Saccharomyces cerevisiae S288C: one gene and its partner. The gene in region 2 interacts genetically with the main gene of each other region. Each region holds a gene or a part of one and is shown on either strand. Other genes may lie near its edges.

What was found. Genes that interact genetically often act in the same process or in processes that back each other up.
Region 1: mutations in YBR053C (region 2) and ATR2 together harm fitness more than expected from each alone (negative genetic interaction), as found in Saccharomyces cerevisiae (one large-scale study listed by BioGRID).

What each region holds. Positions count from the first base shown.
Region 1 is NC_001145.3:824,038-828,648, forward strand, and holds ATR2 (Atr2p), read right to left. Parts: upstream 2,315-4,611; coding exon 692-2,314; downstream 1-691. Other genes in the region: phosphoribomutase PRM15, read left to right, coding at 1-594; DNA-binding transcription factor CAT8, read right to left, coding at 2,991-4,611.
Region 2 is NC_001134.8:338,844-343,155, forward strand, and holds YBR053C (regucalcin), read right to left. Parts: upstream 1,909-4,312; coding exon 832-1,908; downstream 1-831. Other genes in the region: RFS1 (flavodoxin-like fold family protein), read right to left, coding at 1-509; YRO2 (Yro2p), read left to right, coding at 4,258-4,312.

The DNA.
Region 1 (4,611 bases), on a different chromosome or scaffold from region 2:
GGATTCGAGGAAGCAATAGGCTACATGTTTCCAGCAATGGAGCATGATAAGGATGGTATCAGTGCATCCATTGTCTTCTTGCAAGCCTACTGTAAGTGGAAAATAGACCACAATTTGGACCCGCTAAATGTCTTAGAAAATGGCTTCAAAAAATATGGCGTGTTCAAAGAGTACAATGGCTATTATGTCGTTCCAAATCCAACTGTTACAAAAGATATATTTGACTACATCAGGAATGTCTACACTCCTGAGGGCGCGTCATATCCTTCATCTATTGGTGAAGAAATCGAAGTACTTTACTATCGAGATTTAACCACTGGTTACCAATCGGATACCATAAATCATAAACCTACTCTACCCGTCGATCCTACATCACAAATGATAACAGTATCTGCTAGACCAAGTAACGGTAGTGAGAATGAGCATATCCGCTTCACTATTCGCGGGTCCGGAACAGAACCAAAACTTAAAGTATATATTGAAGCTTGCGCAAATGAAGAACAAAGAGCCTCTTTCTTGGCGAAATTGACTTGGAATGTGCTGAGACGTGAATGGTTTAGACCAGATGAAATGAATATAGTTACAAAATTTTGATACTATTTTAACCTATACATTAAGACCAAGCGACTTAAAGAATGCCATTATATTTGTTGTTTGTACCTACACTTATATCAATATACATTTAACTAGTTTATGCCTCCAAACTTCTATCTTCAGATTTTCTGTGTCGATTCCAAAGGTTTTCAAGCATGTAAGTCACACTAATCACAACACCAAGAGAAGCGAGCCCAACTCCCAGATATACAGCTGCTCGGTAACCTTTCAACAAATCATTGCCGCTTTTATTAATTTGGTGTTCAACAGTGCCTCCCATACCTAAACATAGAGACGCTGAATAATTAATAACGGTGTTTACTAATGATCCAGCCATACCTTGATACTGCATTGGAAGCCCGTCACTCAATATAATGGATGATGCCGGGAAGGACAGGTCCATACCAAAACATAAGATAGCCTGCATCGCAAAGTTCAACTTCCAATAGCTTTGTTCCACTGGCAATACACTAAACATTATGGAACCAGCGTCAAATGCCATTAGTGAAAAACATAGTAGTAGAGCTGGTCCTAATCTCTTGATAGAAAAGGCAACGAAGAATGCAGCCATGGATCCGAAAATTACGAAAACGAAATACGTACCTCCGGTCCAAACAGGACTGTAATGCCTCAAATTTAGTTGGAAGGAAACATAATAGAATGTCCAAATACCAAACGACCCCCATCCCAGGAATACCGCCAATAATATCATAATCATATGACGGTTCTTCGTCATTGCACGTGGTAGAAGAGGAACCTCTGCGTATTTACTTTCGTAAACAAAAAAAGCAACCAAGAATATCACAGATATTATCAAAAGAACAATGATATAAGGTTTGTCCCAGCCAACTATTGGTGCTTGATTCCAGACAAAGTTGAAAAGAATCAGCCCGATAATGGCAAGCGCGGACCCAGTCCAATCCATCGAAAGCCCATGAATATTTGTGGGAACGTTGTTTGGGATGGAGTACCATGCCATTAATAAACTTAGAAACGTTGCAATACCAAAGGCATAAAATACCCAAGGCCACTGATTGGGGTCTTCAGTGACAATTAACCCCCCGAATAATCCACCAAACATGCCGCCTGTTGGAGCACATGCGCCGATGAAACTAATAACAATGTTCTTCCTGAATGAACCGACCTTATAAACATGACCAACAAGCCCCATAATATTTGGTAAAATAAACGCAATTCCAACTCCTTGGAACGCACGGCTCGTAATGAAAAACGCGTCGCTATTAGAGTATTTGGAGAGACCAGAAATTATAGACCAAACGATTACGATGACATAACCAACGATCAACATTTTCTTCAATCCATAAATATCTCCTAACCTCCCACTAATAAGGATGAACGACCCAGCAGCCAAGGGAAAAGATGCCATCAACCATGCCTGATTGTTTGCTTCTGAATTAAAGGATTTCGAAAGAACGTTCATTATACAGAGAGCGTGTGTTTGGCCCGCTTGATTCAATAACTGTGCCAACATGCATGTCGCTATGAACATTAATTCTTTCCCAAAGGAACTGAAGTAAGTGGGGTCCTGCCATGGTGAGTCATTGGTCACTTGAGTTGATTTGGTTGAAGAAACAATTGTTGTCACCTCTTCATCTTCTGTGGAAACCACTACTTTATCTTTTGCTTTCACTGTAATTTTCTCATCTATCTCAGAGTCCGTGCCCTGCACGCTCGTTTTCTTTTTGAAGATTGAAAACATTTCCAATCAGATCTTTGAGTTGTATGTTTGGTGTGCTTAGATTGGTTTCCAGAACTAGCCATGGTTAAAAGATCTATTTCCATTGCCTTATATACCTATTTTTGTCCAAGCCAAATGTCTCTGAGTATTTCCTCGAAAAACTGATATGAAAGAAAATTTAGTTCGTAACCATGGCAATACTATAGCATAATCTTCGTCATGCCATTGTTATCTCATAAATAAAACTCCTATAACAAAGCAAAAAAAGTTTACGCGTTCTACGGACATTTGTGTAGGAAAAATAAAGATTTTACTTAATCAATATACGAGCCACGTTTTTGGCGTCGCATTGTCGGCGCTATTTATGCGCACCCCTGTTGCCTTCTCTTCCCTTCCGTGCAGCCTCCGCGCTGTCAGATGGTCCTCCGGTAACGTAACCATGGGAACTAGCAAAAAAATTTCCTAATCTGAAATGTAGTTCCATTAATAAATCTGAGGAACATGGGCGCTGCATCAAGATGTGTTTTGGCGTCGTCTTTGTTATCTTTTCTTTTTTCCAACAATAAATTTGGCTGTTCATAAGGTGAACGAAAGCTACGGCAATTGCCCTATTAAGAAATTATACGTAAGAATGTTATTTGTTTCATGAATATTTAGAGGATTCCGTTTTGAATATATTACACTATGAAATAAAGAATTATTTGGCGTTTTGCCATTGGAATAAATCAGATACATTATCTGTGTTGGAACTTCCGCCACCAGAACTTTTTGATCGATCTGTATTGTAACGATTTTTCTGAGGCCGTCTTGGACCACGGTGGGACGCCGAGGGCCCTGAAGAGGTCCTTCTCATTTGAAACAGTGTAGAAGGTGTATCCAACTGGTTGCCAGTTGCACTCTTTGAGTTCTCTTGAGAACTACTGTCACCTTTTGAATCATTGCCCGATGAAAGAGATCTTTGATTGCTGGTATTTCTCGTACTTACGGAGGATACCATCCCTTGACTTAAAATTGAGTCGGTAGGATTCAATACTTCTCTGGCATTCATGCGTGACCGATCCAAGTCATCGTTAAATGTCGTATCTAGGATGATGCTGTTTTTACTTCGATTTGACGTAGTAGACGTCGTGTTGGTATTTGAGATATCGGGCGTATCCACTAATAAAGGAGCCAACCCAAGTGATGCATCTACAATGTAATCATAGTCGACCCCAGAATAATTGACATTTGTCATGAAATTGTTAAAATTACCTAAATCGTTGAAATCACAGTTGTCCATTCCATGCTTTGTACTTCCAAGGATACTGCCTTGGCTGGTATTACTGCCAGTTGAAGGTGGTTTGAAGTTGGCACCTGCATTTGTAACGGCTTTTTTATTTGTTCCCGGATCCGCTGACGCGGAGTTCTGATCATTTTGGTATAAAAAGTTGTTAATACTAATATTCGAGAAAGAATTATCGTTGTTCAGCAATCTCATTAGCTTTGTTAGGCTGTAGTTACTCTTGTTGTTGAAAGAGAGATTATTCTTTTCCATATTCGTACTTTTTCCTTTCTGATGAAATTGGTTGTTTTTTGAATTCTCAGGGTTTTGCTTAATAACGGGTTCTAATTGTTCCGGTTTAGAGTCCATATTATCCTTCATTAGATCTAAATTACTTGGTAGACTGAATATCGCATCCATGTGCATAGGCTTATTCTCAATCGTGTTTTGACCTATATTGGAGTTACCGGTCTGTAAGAATGGTGCCATATTTAAAAAGCTTAAGTTCTCTATATTGGCATCCGTGGCATCTGTAGAAGCTCTGTTACACACATCCACGTTGCCATTATTAGTATTCGTACAATTCGGTCCTTCAGGATGGGTGAACAGCGCAGTAAGGTCTGTATTACTAAACGAAAATGGAAACAGATTGCTGGTGGACATGTTTTTTTTGGTATCATTCTGGAAATTATGTGCGTTCTCCCCCTTGGATATACCGCCATCTTTTGCATTTCGTTTTGCATCTTTTTCATACTTTAATCTCTTATTACCATTAGTTGTATTTGTCATTGGAGAGTGACCCGCTTCAGAATTATTGTTATTATTACTATCGTTTCCATAAAGATACTCGTGTTCTGGGTTTTCTCTTTTGACATTAGGTGTTCTTTGTCTATTTTCCAGGCTGTTCTTCGATTGAGAGCCAAATAATGGTTTTAAGGATGTGGTTGTGGCCGGTGGTAACCCCATCAATCTATTGTAGTAATTCAATTTCTTTTCCAAGAATTTATCCAGTCTTTCAACCTTAACATTAGGTGCTTTCAACAACAGGTTGATGCTC
Region 2 (4,312 bases):
CCGTTCACATCTTCAACGTCGGTCAATTCCTTGTATGCGTTCTTATACCCCAATGGGACATAAATGACACCATGATGGACCAGAGTACTCATTGCGTTCATGATACACATTTCTGTATCACCCTTGCCGCTTATTGCGCCTGAAACAAACAAACCGGCAATTTTGCCATGGAGAGAACCCTTTGCCCAAAGCCCACCAGTATTCGAGTCCCAAAAGCTTTTCCACTCCGCGGGGAAGTTTCCAAACTTAGTAGGTATTCCGAATAAGTAGTAATCGTACTCAACCAACGTTTCTCTTGTTAGGATTTTATAGGAAAAATCTGCATTAGTTTTGGCGACTTTGGCTGCCTCTTTTCCCTCTTCTGTCGCATATTCAGTTTTATAGCTGACGTCTGGCACTTGGAAAATCTCAGCCTCACCACCAGCTATCTCTATACCTTTTTTTTCATTTTCTGCTAATGTGGCAATTATATCGTCCACTGAATAAATCAAAATAGCGACTTTCGGCATTATCTATGTGGCGTAGTATGTGCTTATAATAGTGAGTAGTATGCTGGAGGTCTTGATGTTCGATGTTTCTCGAGAAAAGTGTGATATAAAATGTGGTTTCTTTTTATTTCTTTTCTTTTCCGCTCTTTTATGTATTTTTGATTGTCCGCCCCTTAGGTGTTCCCTCCTTATAACTAGGCAACCAAAATGGAACGGCTATTATTCGATGTATAAGGACAAGTTTGGGAGCTTCGCTTCAATTTGCCCATAAGCGGTGTCATATGACGCTAGTTACATGCGCTGGATACGTATGCTGCATATATATAAACATATGTATATACACCTAGTGGAGAGGTTGTCGCTTTGTAGATTCCAGAGGAACATTTCCGTCTAGCACGTTTGGAATTTTGTAGATGCAGCCACCATTCTTGTCAGTATTGGTTCTTACAGCATCGTTGATTTCTGCATTGGCAGTGGTCACGAAGAGATCTTTACCAACAAAACAACAACATGAAACTCTTGGTGTCTGCTCCGGCAAAATGAACTCCTTCAGCAATTTTCCGTTAGTTAAATCGAACATTTGAACCTTACTGGTGGACCAGACAGTGATAAACAGAAACCCAGAATGTTTTCCGTCTTTGCTAAACCAAATTGCACTTCCATCTGGTTCAGGAGACTCAAAAGATTGATTGTTGGAGTTCTTCACGTCAATTAACTCGTCACGTTTTAGCAAGTCGCCACCAGGACATTTCCAAATAGTGAAGTTTAAAGAATCAGTCACGTACATCGTCTTTTGATCACTTTCATCCCAGTGGATCGCGTTAGGAATTAACAAGCAATTCCAAACAAGCTCTATCTTGTGAGCTAATAGGTCAACACGAAGCAAACACCCAATAGGTTCCAAATCAAATGGAAAATCGCTCATTAGCCCCACATAAATATATTTTCCATCTGGCGAAACGTTCCCATCATTAGATCTCAACTTATATGCTCTGTCTGTACTCAATTCAGGACATTCGGAATACAAAATGACATATTCCCATTCACTTTTGCTAAAATCCAATTTTCCTATGCCAAATTTACTACCAAATAATACTTGTTTGATTTCATTTTGTGAAGCCCCATCAAGTATTGGAAATATACAGCCCACGGATTCTTTTAATTCATCTGGATTGGGAGGGTACTCAATTGACGCATTCTTGCCATAATTGGCTCTACTAATGGAAAAAAAAGAATGACTGGATTCAGGCTGTTCTATGTCTTCGACTTTATGAACCTCTCCTTTAAAAATATCAACCCACAACAGTGTACCGGTTTCCTTAACGAAGGTTATTCCTTCACTATGTATGGCACCGGGAACGTGATAATAAGGTTTTAAATCATGCAAAATAATTTCTTCAAAATCGCCAACACTACTCATTTTACGAAAAGTGTCTAGTTGCTCAATGCATATAAACTTAATCTAAGAATCTTACAGGACATCTTCATATATGTCCATATGCTTTGAATAAGCATTGGCTTCCCCTTAAAGCCCGACCGGGTAAACTTTCACCTAGCTGTTCTTGGCGACCATTAAATAATTTTGAATGCATTTCTAGGAACAAAATCAAGTGCAAGCTACAGCTTTACAATTATAGAATCTGTTGACCAAGTAAAATGGATGAGAAAATTTACGTACGATTTTGTTCCTTATCCATTCAGCTTCTCAGTTAGTCAAGAGGTAGCTGTAGCGGCTTAACGAAAAAGGTATTAAAAAGGGACATACTTTTTTTATATCTTTTCCTTTGGCGTTCACAGTTACTCTTTTAGAACTCCTTGTTGTTGTGTAATGCATTTACCCATTCCCGATATAACTACCACTTTGGAGAACTGTAGACAAAGACCGCTCTTACTGAGTATACATTTTACTTTCGTAGACCGACTTTTAACTCTATTAGGAAAAGCAATTGACTTTTGAACTTCGATGACGATTGTGCAAAATACAAATCGTTTCAAGCGGTGTTCGGAATAGCTCACAGAAATGGCGAAGATATGTTGAAAAATACATACCGATGTCATTTGTGAAAAACAAAAACACAAGCTACAATTTGTATATTTACTCAATTACATATACCAATTGAGTAATAATTAAACAAGAAGGCAAAAATAAACTAAAGCAAAATAGTATACCATCTTTGGTTCCTGGACCACATTTTCTCTCAATATTTTTGAGATGTTTTTCTTTACTTTGTTTTAAGTAGTCTTTCCATCTCCCTTCAACGGAAACAAGTGCACGCAACATGTTATTTTCCTGTTATCCGCCCTGAGCAGTTTTCTTCCCCGGGTGGCAACCATTCTCCAACATTAGACAAACTTTACAAAGAAGACACCCTACCCGGTTGCCTCCAAAGCCCTTCTTTCTTAACGCGAGTACCGCTTTGGGAGGCCTCATCTTGGTTGTGTCCTCGTATGGCAGCATCTGCCATTGAGCGAACCCTTTCCCGTTTTACGCGCATGGCCTAGACCGATCTTTAGCAGACATGCCGAGTGAATTTACCTAAGATTTCTAAGGACTCTTCTGCATGTTTCCGAAAATCACCGGAAAAACCTTCGGTTTTTTTAGACGAAAACTAGGAAGTTGCTTAGCTTTCCTTGTCGTCTTCAAATCTATATGCCATCGGAAGAGAATCAGAAGAGAAGATCACGACTTAAGAGCTTTGCTGTTAAGATAGCAAGAAAGCTTGCCAATAGGCAGTTATGTAACCTAGTTTATCTACACCTTCTTTGATTAACTTAGCTATGTAGGCCGGTGTGTTTGTTCATATCACGGCATACGTTAACACAATGTAAATCTTGCTTTGGGTTGACTGAGGGAAATAACTATAGACATCACACCAATGGCTAAGGGATATTTCGACCTCGCTATGGGTTCTAAATGAGGGAATGGAAAAAAAGGGTAAATTGAAAACAACCTACCGATTTTGGTACCACTTCCGTGATTTTCGATTCTTCAATTTCCGCATAATTTGCCTCAAATAGGAAATCTGAGCTGTTTTTTTCTTACCCTCGAGTGGTCGTTCTGCGGACTTTTCTCCGGTCCAATGCATGAATCCCTTTAAGAAGCATGAAGAAAAAAAAAAATAGCCTCTTGTAAAAGCAAAAATGCCTTTCACTATTTCTGTGTAAACGAATAATTTCGTCATCTTAGTAGTTCACTGGATAATTGTGCTTTCCAATCAGATTAGTTAGTAAAACCCCTAGAAAATTTCAATGTTAGATCGGGATGATTCCTCATCGGGTTGTTGCTTATTCATGATCCTTTCAATTACTGGAAGCTTACCGAAAAGATATATAAAGAACCGAACTTATTCGGTTTACATGTAAGACAGTGTGTTAGTTATGGTTTTCCGCCCTTTTCTTCTCTTGTTTTCTTCGATATTTGTTATTAACCTTTTCTCATTTACGATTATATAATCAAGTGTCAAGATTGTGTCAGCAAATAACAGTAATATTCCAACCCGAAAAAAACTATCTATTTATCTTTGGATACTTTAACATAGACAAGAAGTCCTAAGAACTTACCATAATTTTTTTTCTAAAAACCCTTTTTTACTCAAAACTAATAGCTTATTCTGGTTATTTTTAATCAATCTAGAATTTTTTTCTTTTAATTCCAAACAATCTAATAACGTTTAACCACTAATTCTTTAATTATTAATATTTAATTTTAAAAATCTTCTAATTTTCCTGATAACTTAAAGTGACACTATTTTTTAAAAAAAGCATCAAAATGTCTGATTATGTTGAACTATTGAAAAGAGGTGGTAACGAAGCCATCAAAATTA